Linked DNA regions of Neurospora crassa OR74A. The protein of the gene in region 3 interacts with the protein of the main gene of each other region in a pairwise test. Links are inferred from orthologs where the notes say so. Each region holds a gene or a part of one and is shown on either strand. Other genes may lie near its edges.

The links. The genes of interacting proteins can lie anywhere in the genome.
Region 1: the proteins of NCU02717 (region 3) and NCU06318 interact in a two-hybrid assay, tested with the Saccharomyces cerevisiae proteins (2 studies listed by BioGRID). The link is inferred for Neurospora crassa OR74A from reciprocal best matches to the Saccharomyces cerevisiae genes CLF1 and PRP22.
Region 2: the proteins of NCU02717 (region 3) and NCU00664 interact in binary tests that used the Saccharomyces cerevisiae proteins (3 or more experiments, as listed by UniProt). The link is inferred for Neurospora crassa OR74A from reciprocal best matches to the Saccharomyces cerevisiae genes CLF1 and ISY1.

What each region holds. Positions count from the first base shown.
Region 1 is NC_026504.1:2,933,115-2,937,235, reverse strand, and holds the start of NCU06318 (ATP-dependent RNA helicase DHX8), read left to right. Parts: upstream 1-1,319; 5' UTR 1,320-1,586; coding exon 1,587-4,121. Other genes in the region: NCU06317 (stress response RCI peptide), read right to left, coding at 155-609, 687-744.
Region 2 is NC_026501.1:7,640,704-7,644,766, reverse strand, and holds the start of NCU00664 (pre-mRNA-splicing factor isy-1), read left to right. Parts: upstream 1-1,261; 5' UTR 1,262-1,482; coding exon 1,483-1,485; intron 1,486-1,563; coding exon 1,564-2,280; 3' UTR 2,281-2,700; coding exon of another isoform or gene 2,701-4,063. Other genes in the region: NCU00665 (Ser/Thr protein phosphatase), read right to left, coding at 2,701-4,063. UniProt on the Saccharomyces cerevisiae protein: Involved in pre-mRNA splicing and cell cycle control.
Region 3 is NC_026501.1:3,299,783-3,304,067, forward strand, and holds NCU02717 (pre-mRNA-splicing factor clf-1), read left to right. Parts: upstream 1-1,485; 5' UTR 1,486-1,584; coding exon 1,585-1,903; intron 1,904-1,980; coding exon 1,981-3,749; 3' UTR 3,750-3,953; downstream 3,954-4,285. Other genes in the region: NCU02716 (pre-mRNA splicing factor), read right to left, coding at 1-488, 591-938. UniProt on the Saccharomyces cerevisiae protein: Involved in pre-mRNA splicing and cell cycle progression. Required for the spliceosome assembly by promoting the functional integration of the U4/U6.U5 tri-snRNP particle into the U1-, U2-dependent pre-spliceosome.

The DNA of each region.
Region 1 (4,121 bases), on a different chromosome or scaffold from region 3:
TGCAACACTGCTGCTCAGGACACTCGCAAGCGCACTGGCAATCGCAAGCCGCACTCCTCCAATTTTTGAAAGAACGAGTAGCACCCTCTGTCTTGGTGGTTGCAGAAGTAGAGCCATTAACAGTGGGTATCGGCGTCGTAGATGTTGAAGGACCCTAATCCTGAGTCTGAATTTTATGATCACCTGCTACTACTTGCGCGTAACTCGGCGGGGGCGCAGCATGGCTGTTGTCGCTGTCTCCTCCTGCGCTAGGACCAGCATGTGCAATACCCGAATCTTGGGGCGCGTGGCCAGCGGTGGTACCGTAATTCATGGGCCCTTGTCGCTGCGGCTGCTGATTCTTGTGGGCGGCTTGTTGGTGGTGGTAGTGGCGGCCACCGCCGGTTTGATTGTTGCCGGGCTGGTCGTGGACAAAGACATAAATTCGTTGACCGCTTTCAACACGGCCGATGTCATTGGCGTCGTAAACGGCGCCGTCGTAGTCAAATGGTGGGGTAGGGTTCTTCGCAATGATGTACCAGGCGTGTAGAAGGCCGGGGAGGAAGCCGAGGACGCAGAGGAGGAGGTTGATGAAAGAGTCAGCGGAGCAGATGCCGGTTTTGACCCAGACTGTGGGGAAGGGGTTAGTGGATGATCGTAGATAGCCTTGTAAGGCGACTTCGTTTGAACTATGATGTTGAGCTTACCAGGCAGCGGTGGGAAGAGGATGGCTAAGAAGCCGAGGAAGATGTCGGTGGACCACATTGTTGTGCTTGTTGTACTGTGCAACCAAGACGACGCAAGGATACAAATAAAAAGGACTGGAAAGGTGTGACTATTTTGACGATAAATAGGTAGGTTGAAAACGAAGGTCTTGATGTTTATGGTAAGTGGAATGGTTCAAGCATCCAAAACGATGTAAGACGAATGGAGGAAAGATGGACTGATGGAGAGGCTGCGGATCCTCAATGATGCAACCGATGGGGCTTCGTCACTGGACGGGTCACGCGCCGAAAAGGCCAGGCCCTGCGCCAGGGGAGCTTGCGTAAGCTACCAGGAACCCCGCCCGATTCGATGAACGACAGGGGCAAAGGGAAGACGTTCCTTCAACGGACTCAATTCTGCCCGCTAGAGACGGGGTTAGGGTTATGTGGCCATCAAGGTTCCCTTCAATGACTGGCATCGAGTACTGACTCGTGCGCTTCCAAAACCATACCATTTTAAGTGGCTGTGATGGCTGGAATAAAACGATGAGTCACGGGAACTCTCCGGCAGGTTCCATTTCTTGGCGGATCATGGAGCCTCGTTGTCGCTGGCCGCTGGCAATGGACAGGCCGCGCGCATCACTGCACTTTTCGGCTTTTCGCGTCCGCTACAGGCAATTCGTTGTCACTGTATCTCCCAACATCGTCTCGAGGTGCCGGATTTCTGGACCTTCTGCGAAAACTCAAGCCATCACAACAGATCTCCCCTCCACTGCCCGTTGACGGGAGCTGTCGAATTCCCTGTCCTAACGCTCTCCTTTGCTTGAGAGACGTTCATACAACTTTCGATTTTATTCACGGACGATAGCCACAAATTACTGAAGTCACCAGACGGCCACCACCATGGACGACTTGGAGAGCCTCGAGCTTCTGTCGCTCGTGTCCAAGGTCACGTCCGAGTTGCAGAACCACTTGGGCGTCAGCGAAAAGACGCTCGCCGAGTTCATCATCGCCCAACGAGTAGAATGCGGGTCATTCGACGAGTTCAAGCAGAAGTTGGCCACCATCGGCGCCGACTTCCCGCCCAGCTTGGTTGAGAGTATCGACAGACTTGTCCTGACCTTGCACCCAAAGTTCAAGGGCCAAAACCATGGACAGACCCGCGCCGATGAAAACGAGAAGCATGGTCAATCTGCCGAGGAAAAGACAAAGGTGTTCAAGGGTCTGTCCATCCCGGACAAGGAAGTGGATGTCATCGACGACACCCTGGCCTTACTCGAAAGCCTCGAGCCTAAGAGAGCGGAGAAAGAACGACCAAGGAAACGAAGCCGCACCCCCGAACGAGACGACTATGCAGACGACTACGGGAAGAGGAAGCGCAAGGAGCGATACCGGTCAAGGTCGAGGTCAAGGTCCAGGTCAATTTCGCCACCAAGAGGCCGACGGAAGGGCCGATATGATGATGAATACGATGGTGATTTCCGACGGCCACCACCGCGCGAGGTGGACGACTCCCCTATTTTATACAAGGTTTACGAAGGCCACGTCACGGGAATCAAGGACTTTGGTGCCTTTGTCAACCTGCATGGCGTTAAGGGCAAGGTTGACGGCTTAGTACATGTATCCGCTTTCGGTCAGCGTGTCAATCACCCTTCGGATCTCTTATCCAAGGGTCAGGAAGTCAAAGTCAAAGTCATTAAGCTCGAGGGAGGTAGAGTAGGTTTGTCGATGAAGGACGTAGACCAAGAGACGGGCATGGACCTCGCACCGCAATTGCGGATAGGTTCGGGCGCCAATATGGAGGCATTGGGCGGGAGAGGAGGATACGATACAAAGAATGTTGTCACCAACGGCTTTGGTGACAAGGGAGCATTCCAAGCGACAGCAAATGCCAGGCAACACAAGAAGAGGATGACGTCTCCTGAAAGATGGGAGATTCGTCAAATGATTGCGGCAGGCATTGCAAAGGCATCCGATTACCCAGAACTTGAAGAGGACTACCAGGCAACACTCAAAGGCGAGGGACAGATGGAGCTTGAGGAGGATGTTGATATCGAGGTTCGAGACGAGGAACCTCCCTTCCTGGCTGGACAGACCAAACAGTCACTCGAGCTGTCACCCATCCGCGTTGTTAAAGCTCCCGACGGGTCCCTTAACCGCGCCGCCATGGCAGGCACCAATCTTGCCAAAGAACGAAAGGAACTGCGGCAGCAGGAGACTGAAGCCAAAAAAGCAGAGGAGAAAAAGGTTGACTTGTCCTCCCAATGGCAAGATCCTATGGCCAACCCGGAGACCAGAAAGTTTGCTAGTGATTTGCGCAAAAACGCTCAAGCAGCACCAGCGGCTCCCGATGCTGTTCCTGAGTGGAAGAGGGCCGTTGCACCCAAAGAAGTGTCGCTAGGCAGGCGCACCAACATGAGCATCAAGGAGCAACGAGAATCTCTCCCCGTCTTTGCCTTTAGAGAACAACTAATCACGGCTGTGAGGGAGAACCAGGTCCTTATTGTTGTCGGCGAGACGGGATCCGGAAAAACGACACAGCTTACTCAATACCTGGCTGAAGCCGGCTTTACTAACAATGGGATGATTGGATGTACGCAGCCTCGCCGTGTCGCCGCCGTGTCTGTTGCGAAACGTGTTTCTGAAGAAGTCGGCTGCCAGCTTGGCCAAGAAGTTGGTTATACCATCAGATTCGAGGACGTCACCAGCCCAGCAACCAAGATCAAGTATATGACCGACGGTATGCTTCAGAGAGAGATCCTGATCGACCCCGACCTTAAGAGATACTCGGTCATTATGCTTGATGAGGCCCACGAACGTACCATCGCCACCGACGTGCTCTTTGCCCTTTTGAAAAAGACAATGAAGAGAAGGGAGGACCTCAAGGTTATCGTCACTAGTGCTACCTTGGATGCCGACAAGTTCAGCGAGTACTTCAACCAATGCCCCATCTTTACCATCCCTGGTCGTACATTCCCTGTCGAGATTCTCTACTCCCGTGAGCCAGAGTCAGACTACTTGGATGCCGCTCTCACCACCGTCATGCAAATCCATCTCAGCGAGCCAATGGGCGACATCCTTTTGTTCTTGACAGGACAGGAAGAAATTGACACGGCTTGCGAAATTCTATACGAACGGATGAAAGCCTTGGGCCCTAACGTTCCTGAGCTTCTCATCTTGCCCGTTTACTCTGCCCTTCCTAGCGAGATGCAGAGTAGGATTTTCGACCCAGCGCCGCCAGGGAGTCGAAAGGTTGTTATCGCGACCAACATTGCCGAGACATCCATCACGATCGACCATATCTACTACGTTGTTGATCCAGGGTTCGTCAAGCAGAACGCATACGACCCCAAACTTGGCATGGACTCGTTGGTTGTCACTCCTATTTCGCAGGCTCAAGCCAACCAGAGAGCCGGTCGAGCTGGTAGAACAGGACCA
Region 2 (4,063 bases), about 4.3 Mb from region 3:
CGAACCCTTACTGGTGAAGGCGAGAGTTTCGGTGAGAGTAACTTTCCCAGCCAGGCATTGCGGCGGCAATGGTAGTGCTTGGTGCGCGGTGCGCGTCCCAAGTACTCCAAGTTGTGGAAAGGACAGCCACACTAACTAACACTTGTTCTTCATCCAGACACCTGCAAAGATGATTCTGCCGCTCTGGACCAAGGCTGACTGATAACCTCGACAGCTAGCAGAACGTATCTCACATGATGCCCGTCTTGGAAAACCAAAACGGGACATCCAGCCTTGCGGCAACCAAGCCCCGATCCTTCCATAGGGTAAGGGGTTCGTAACTTCTGGTTAAGAACCACTCCATGGGTAGGATTCGGCGATTTATAAGGCTGGCTGTGAGACGTTCATGCTGGGTAGACGGTCGAGGCTACAGCCGGACCAGGTCCAGAGCAGAGGACCAGGTGTACACATGTCCGGATGGGGGTGCATGTGAACTGATGAGGAAAGGAGGAGGGGAAATGTAAAAGTATGGTGGAAGTAGTGCAGAAAGTTGTGGGGTACGAGTTGTTGAAGAGGCCTGCTCAGATATCCGTTCTTGTTGGGCTTTCATCTTCTGCCAGATGGTTCGTCGACTCCTCGAAGAGGAAAGATGCCCCTATCGGTGGAATCAAGACACCCTGAATTGTGATGGTCTTCTTCACTGCAGGGCCCCAGGAGTAGATGAAAGAAGTGGCAATGGAACTAGAAAGTGGTAAGTGAGTTCGTGATAGGTAGCTGAAGGTATTGGCTTGAGGAGGGGTGGTTGTGATTCGAAGAGGGTTCGTTGCCAGGCGCTGATAGATTGAGGCTGCAAAAATGAAAGGTCAAAAGCATGAAAGAAAAAATGGAAGTATAGAAAAGGATGGTGATAGAGTGTTGGCTCGCTTCATAGGTAGACCTCGGTTCGCATGCTCATTCAAGAAGAGCGATGTGCATCCTCGGGCATCGCCAGACGTGAAAGGAGCTACTCAGCTGGAAGCCGAACCAAACCGAGCCTCTCAAGTTTGCAGTGACTTCCAGAGCCGCGCGATACTGCGGCAATAAAATAGAATCCCGCGTTCTGAGGATGGCTGTAGATTTTCGTCGTTCGAATGGTAAAGTTCAAGGTGTAGAGGTAATCAATCTGGTGACTTGTTGGATGCAGGTTGAGATTCAGGACGGACGCGTTCGAATTGCGGCGCCCCGTAATCATCTGCAGTGGAGCTCGGGCCACAATCACAGAAACGCCACACCACCAAACAAACGAGGCATCACAGCCTTGCAGCCTTCTGTCTTGTACCAGTACATCATCTTCGAATTTCCGGCAATACGTAAAATCCACGGCTGGCCACAGTTAGACTTTCCACTGCGCCTTCAATCCCCAGCCGATCCTACTTGCCTCGTCTCAGGAGCAAGCTTAGGTTATCAATCACAATACCCTTCCACGCCTAATTTCCCCCGCGCAACCCATAATCACCATCCAAAATGGTATGTTCCTGATTAATCCCACTGTTCGACTCTTCTATCGGTCTGTACAATCCGTGTACTAACAATGTCCCAACCCAGGCACGCAACTCCGAAAAAGCCCAGTCGATGCTCTTCCGCTTTCGCGAAGCGCAAGCCGCCGACCTGGGCATCATCGACGCCGGGCGCACGCGCCGCCCGCGCTCCATCACCGAGCAAGACAGCATTCCCGCATGCGAAAAGTGGCGAGGCCAAGTCCTCAAGGAAATCTCCCGCAAGGTGTCCCGCATCCAAGACCCAGCCCTATCCGACTACCAGATCCGCGACCTCAACGATGAGATCAACAAGCTCATGAGAGAAAAACACATGTGGGAGGTGCAGATCCGCAACCTGGGCGGACCGAACTACATGCGCTCGGGAGGGAAAGTGTACGACGAAGCCGGGCGGGAGATCCCTGGTGGAGGGAGGGGGTACAAGTACTTTGGCAGGGCGAGAGAGTTACCCGGTGTGAAGGAGCTGTTTGAGGCGGCGGCGAGGGCGAAGCAGGATGATGAGAAACCATTGGAGACGAGAGATGATTTAAGGAAACAAGTGGATGCGGCGTATTACGGGTATGCGCCGGACGAGGAGGACGAGAAGCTGTTGGCGTATGAGGCGGCAAGGGAGAGGCAGGCGTTTGAGAACCTGGCGAAGGCGGCGGCGGGATTGGAGCCGCCTCCCGGATGGGAACCGTTGCCGGAGTGGGAGCTTCCTACGATGGACGAGGTTGCGCAGGAGCTTATTGACAGGAGGAGGCGGAGGCTGTTGGATCAGTTGTAGCCTGGCGATGACTGAAATGATTTGTAATTGGGTCTGTGGGAAGAGGAGAAGGGGGCACATGTCGGTTGCGCGGGCATGGTGATGGTTCGTTTTGTAGCATTTACACGGATACGGCGCGGCGTTCAAGGCGCAGAGTAATGGGATACATGATACTTTGGCGGGTTCGACAACCAGGTTCAGCTCAAGTGCTGGGTTTATATTCGTTTTGCGCACAGTACTCGCTATGTTACCATTGTTATTTACAGTCTGAAATCATTATCCCGTTCATAATTCATATTTGATCCCTCAATCCAGCCAGGTCATCAAGAAATAGACGCCAATGTAACACATCCCGTACCGCATGACCGAGCCCCGTCTCAGGCCGCCGTGCCTTCAGTTTCCCGTGCCAGCGAGATTATATGAACAACATGGCTGTTGTGCCTAACAGTTAGCAGGCCAGTTCTCCTTAATCCAGCCCGCCATCAATTCCGTAAAGGTCCCATTGACATATCTCTTGGCATCATCATTAGTGTAGTCGCCTCCGGAGATCTTCAGCGCAACCATGACCCATGGTTGAATGAAATCAAAGAACACGAGATCAACCTTTTCAGGCTTCTCGCCCTCCTCCTTGGGCGAGAACCCAACTTCGGCCTGGATGCAGTTAGGCACGACATAGAAGTTAATGGCAGAGTGGATAGCATCATCGCCATCGTCACCAATATCATCCTTTGTCGTATAGCCTTCGATCAAAACGGGCTCCTTCTTAGAGGCGCCATCACCCGACAGGGGCTTTTGCCCGTCCACAAGACCCTCAGTCGCGAAGGAAGGCATTGGCTTCTCATGAATAATGTCCTGTGTGATGGCAAACTGCTCCGGGATGGCCATAAATCGAGCATCCATAGGAGCATGCTCCTCCATGATCCGCCCAGCGTTGTTGAGTAAGCCGATAACTTTACTGGCAACCTCGTAAGGGACGTCGGGGATGTAGTTGAGGACGCTGAGGAAGGGCGAGATGATATACGTTGTATCTCTGGTAAATTTGCCCTTGAAGACATCGAAGCGGATGGCACCGGTGTTCATGATAACCAGACGAGGGACATCTTTCCTGTCGTCGTTGATGGCGATCTCTGGAAGAACCTCCTTCTCGAGCCACGTGTAGATGCTGTCCTCGGAGGGATAGGGCGCCCTCGTCATCCACAGGTTCTTTGGTGCACAGCCGAACGTGTAGTCCAGATCGAGATCCTTGCGGGCCTGGGCGATCATTTGTGATACATTTCGGCCGTGGTCTGTAGGAAATGTGGACTTGTTCAACCCGGTGTGATAGTAGAGGCCCAGTAGGTTGTTGTCGATGTACCTACGGTGGAACGAGAATTCCGCGGCCTCAGTCGAAGGCGGCTCGTCGTCATTGACAGCAGCAGCGACGACATCTTTGGTTGTCCTCTTCAGGTCACCGTCCACCGACATCCAGCCGATCGTTTCAAAGTAACGGCCGCTGGCGATAGCGAACGATCTGGAGTCATACGCCGTCGCGTCACGCACGTGCACATGGCCGCCGAAGAACAGGATGGGCGTTAATCGATTCTGCTTACGAATGGCTGTAAAGATCTCCTTGAACTCGGGCATCTTCACGCCGACGTGACCAATCACCACAAACACATCGGGGTTCTCCCGGATGGCGTCCTGGAACCATTGCTCCTTGATGGTCTCCCTCACGGGCTGTACCACTGTGTTATTGGCATTTCCGGTAAAGTCGAAAAGAAAACCCATGGCGACAATAGTCAGCTTCTGGTTCTTGGTCTGGAAC
Region 3 (4,285 bases):
GGCGCAAAGATGTTCATGCGAGACTGTACGTACTCAGTGAGGGTCTTCTTAGCCTTATCAAGATCGACCACCATCAAGCACGCTTCTGTGACGCGCTGGATCTCATTCTCGCCCAGAAATTGACCCTTGGAAACCGTGGCTTCCACCGTGACAATCATCAAGGTTGGTCCGTCAAGAACTGACTTGAGGGTTAACCCCAGAGGGTTATCGGTGGAAAGCTGCAACGCTTTCATGCTCTCCGAGTCCATTGGGGAGTTGCCCAAGATGGCAACAACCTTGCAGTATTCGATTGGGTTCGGTAATAGCGACTCGAGTGCAGCAAATCTGGCGGAGAAGTGATCCCTCACAAACTTGTGGACAAGGGCCACCTCACTGTCTATCAGAGTAGACAGTCTGTTGGCGTTGGTCAAGAGGTTGTATTCCGGGTGATCTTCGACATGGCCGACGTCGTTGGCCTGAGCGGGTTGTGCTTGATAGTGTGCGATTTTCTGCAACGTTCGATCCAGACTGTCAGGGCTATTGCTCAAATAAGATGTAAACGCTTTTCCATGTTCAAAGGGAGCACCGCAAACGGGTATAAGGGAACTAACCTCGAGTACTGGCTTCAATGACTTCATAAGAGTCGCAACAGTTCGAACATCTCGCACTCCTCCCAGATGCATCTTCTCAACCTTGGCTTTTGCTTCCTCGGGATCTTCTACAGCATTCGAGTCGTCGGCGCCGACGCCACCCATAGCTTCGTCTTCGTCCTCGCCCTCCTCGTCGCCCATGCCTTCATCTTGATCCTCATCATTGATCGGTACATGTGCGTCGTCCACGCCGGAGCCTCCAGTCGTGTCAACGCCATCGCCTAGAAGACCATCGCCATACTCCTCGCCACCGGCCTCGGAGCCAGAGTCCTCAAAGTCCTGGAGGAGCTCGTCGAGAGTAGACGACATGTTGGCAAAACCCTGTTTCCTGGGCAGAATATTCGGCGACTGTTCGGGTCTCAAGGTGGTTAGATTCAGGAGTAAACGGGACAGTCGCTGATACAGGTACAACAGCTGCCGTGTGCCGAAGAAAGAATGGAAAAGAGTTCGATGTGTTGTCGACTTGTTTTGGTTTTGGGAAGAATGGAGGCAAGAGACCGCGGCGTTGCATCACGGCCTAGCGTACTGTACTGACCTCGTTGCGCCAGTGCTTTGCCTGCCGGTCGTACACAGTGCGGCTTGGTATGTCGCCGATAGCTGCCAGTGCAGTGAGTAGATAGTGTCAAGTAGGCGTAGTTCGCAGCCACACCCAATACAGCGGCCTTCCAGCGGCTCAGCGTCGTCTTATGGGCGAACCTGCTCGCTGAGGTCGGACATGTACTACCTATCAGATGTACAATGACATGATGAGCGAAAAGTGTCCATACCCACTGTGCAGCAAGGTTCAGTAAGTAGGCAGGGGCATCGAGCCACGGTCCATCAATCGCAGCGCGTCCTCAACTGAGTTCAGTGGCTGGCTGCTGTTGCGTCCAGACCCCAAAATCTCATTGAGAAACCGAACTTACAACACCACGCCAACATCTGCAGATCGCCACTTTTTACGCCCATCTTCACAATGGAGTCATCGCGCGGCCCGCCACGGGTGAAGAATAAAGCCCCTGCGCCTGTACAGATCTCGGCCGAGCAGCTGCTGCGCGAGGCCGTCGACCGCCAGGAAGTCAACCTCCAGACCCCGACACAGCGCTTTGCCGACCTCGAGGAGCTCAAGGAATACCAAGGTCGTAAGCGCAAGGAGTTTGAGGACTACGTGCGGCGTAACCGAGTTCGTCTATCGAACTGGCTCCAGTATGCTCAATGGGAGCTAGAACAGAAGGAGTTTGCGCGGGCTCGCTCTGTGTTCGAGCGCGCTCTGGATGTACATCCCAACAATACTCGTATGTTTGTCTAAACTCAAAGTGTCCATGTGCTGTTAAATGTGGCGCACATCAGTCGCTAACGATATGTCCAACAGAACTCTGGATCCGATACGTTCAAGCAGAGATCAAGAACCGTAACATCAACCATGCACGCAATCTGTTGGACCGCGCTGTCACGCGGCTGCCCAGAGTCACATCTCTCTGGTACCAGTATCTCTACGTTATGGAGATGCTCGGCGACATTCCGGGTACCAGACAAGTCTTCGACCGGTGGATGAAGTGGCAGCCAGATGAGCAGGCGTGGAGTGCTTATATCCGTCTAGAGAAACGTTACGGCGAGTTCGACAGGGCAAGGGAGATCTTCAGGGCCTTTACCGCCGTCCATCCGGAACCGAGGACGTGGCTCAAGTGGGCCAAGTTTGAAGAGGAATACGGGACCAGCGACACGGTCCGCGAGGTCTTCCAGACAGCTATCCAGACAATTGCCGAAACGCTAGGCGACGATGCCGTTGACGAGAGGATATTCATCGCCTTCGCCCGGTACGAGGCCCGTCTGCGTGAGTATGAGCGGGCCCGTGCCATCTACAAGTTTGGCCTCGACAACTTGCCTCGGTCCAAGTCGATGACGCTACATGCCCACTACACCACATTTGAAAAGCAGTTTGGCGACAAGGAGGGTGTGGAGGACGTCATTCTTACAAAGAGGAGGAGATTGTACGAGGAGCAAGTCAAGGAGAACGCAAAGAACTACGACGTCTGGTTTGACTTTGCGCGACTCGAGGAGAGCGGAGGAGATGTCGATCGGACCAGAGAAGTCTACGAGCGAGCCATTGCTCAAGTACCGCCAACCCAAGAGAAGCGACACTGGAGGCGGTACATTTTCCTCTTCCTCTTTTACGCGATATGGGAGGAGAGGGAAACAAAGGATATCGGGCGAGCCCGTCAGATCTACGACACCTGTCTGAACCTGATCCCCCACAAGAAGTTCACTTTTGCCAAAGTGTGGGTTGCCAAGGCGCACTTCGAGATCCGACAGGGCCAACTAACGACGGCCCGCAAAACCCTCGGCCGCGCCATCGGCATGTGCCCCAAAGACAAGATCTTCAAGGAGTACATCCTCCTCGAGCAGAAGCTCTACGAGTTCGAGCGCTGCCGCACCCTCTACGAAAAGCATGTCATGTACAACCCGGCCAACTGCCAAACATGGATCAAGTGGGCCGAGCTGGAACGTGGTCTCGACGATCTCGAGCGCACCCGCGCCATCTTCGAGCTCGCTGTCTCGCAGCCGATCCTGGACATGCCCGAGGTGGTATGGAAGGCGTACATCGATTTCGAGGAAGAAGAGGGCGAGTACGAGCGGACGCGTGCCCTGTACGAGCGCCTGCTCGAGAAGGCCGATCACCCCAAGGTCTGGATCAGTTACGCCCAGTTCGAGATCAACATACCCGACGAGGCCGAGGAGGAGGAAGAAACGGAGGAGGAGGTGGAAGAGAAGCCTGTTAGCGAAGAGGCCAAGGCACGTGCTCGCAAGATCTTTGAGAGGGCGCACAAGAGCATGAAGGAGCGCGAGCTCAAGGCCGAGCGTGTGTCGCTGCTCAACGCGTGGTTGGCGTTTGAGAAGACGCATGGGTCGGCGGAGGATATCGAAAAGATTCAGAAACAAATGCCTAGGAAGACCAAGAAGAAGCGTAAGCTGGAGGATGATACTTGGGAGGAATATGTCGATTATATCTTCCCGGCTGATGATCAGCAGACCAAGAACTTGTCGAGTCTGTTGGCCATGGCGAATGCTTGGAAACAGCAGGCCGCGGGGGGTGCTGGTGGCGCTGCTGTCGATGAAGCGGCTCAGGGAGGGAGCAGCTAGTGTAGGAGATGCAATGTTATATTAGGCCGCAGACCAAGAAGCCCATAAACTTTTCCCCCCGAATACAGTAACCGATATGGTGCGGATCTTTACTCCCACACATATATACCTCTTGAGTTGTTCTCGGTATTAAAGATCACATAAAAAGCCCAAACCACGATAGAAACCCCATACTTTGATGAAAGGTGTGAATTATATTTTAACCAACTGCTTGGTAGGTTGTTCCATATCCCGTACGATTAAATACGGCTTTGTACATGTTGGGATACTCTGAGGATATCAGGTCTTCCTCGGCCGTCGAATCTCATGGTGGTCTTGACGTCGATTTCCAGCACATTGTATTCGTGGGTCCAAAAAGTATCGTTTATCTCCATGAAAGAAACTGACTACCGGCCTTCTCTTTATACATATATCGTGAGAATTCGCAAAGAGGCATACATTGTTTATCATTGTCATTCTCTCAACCTCTCGGAATTGATCTGTTTCTTCATCATCCTCATAAAACCCAACCTGTTGACCATCATTATCATCATCAT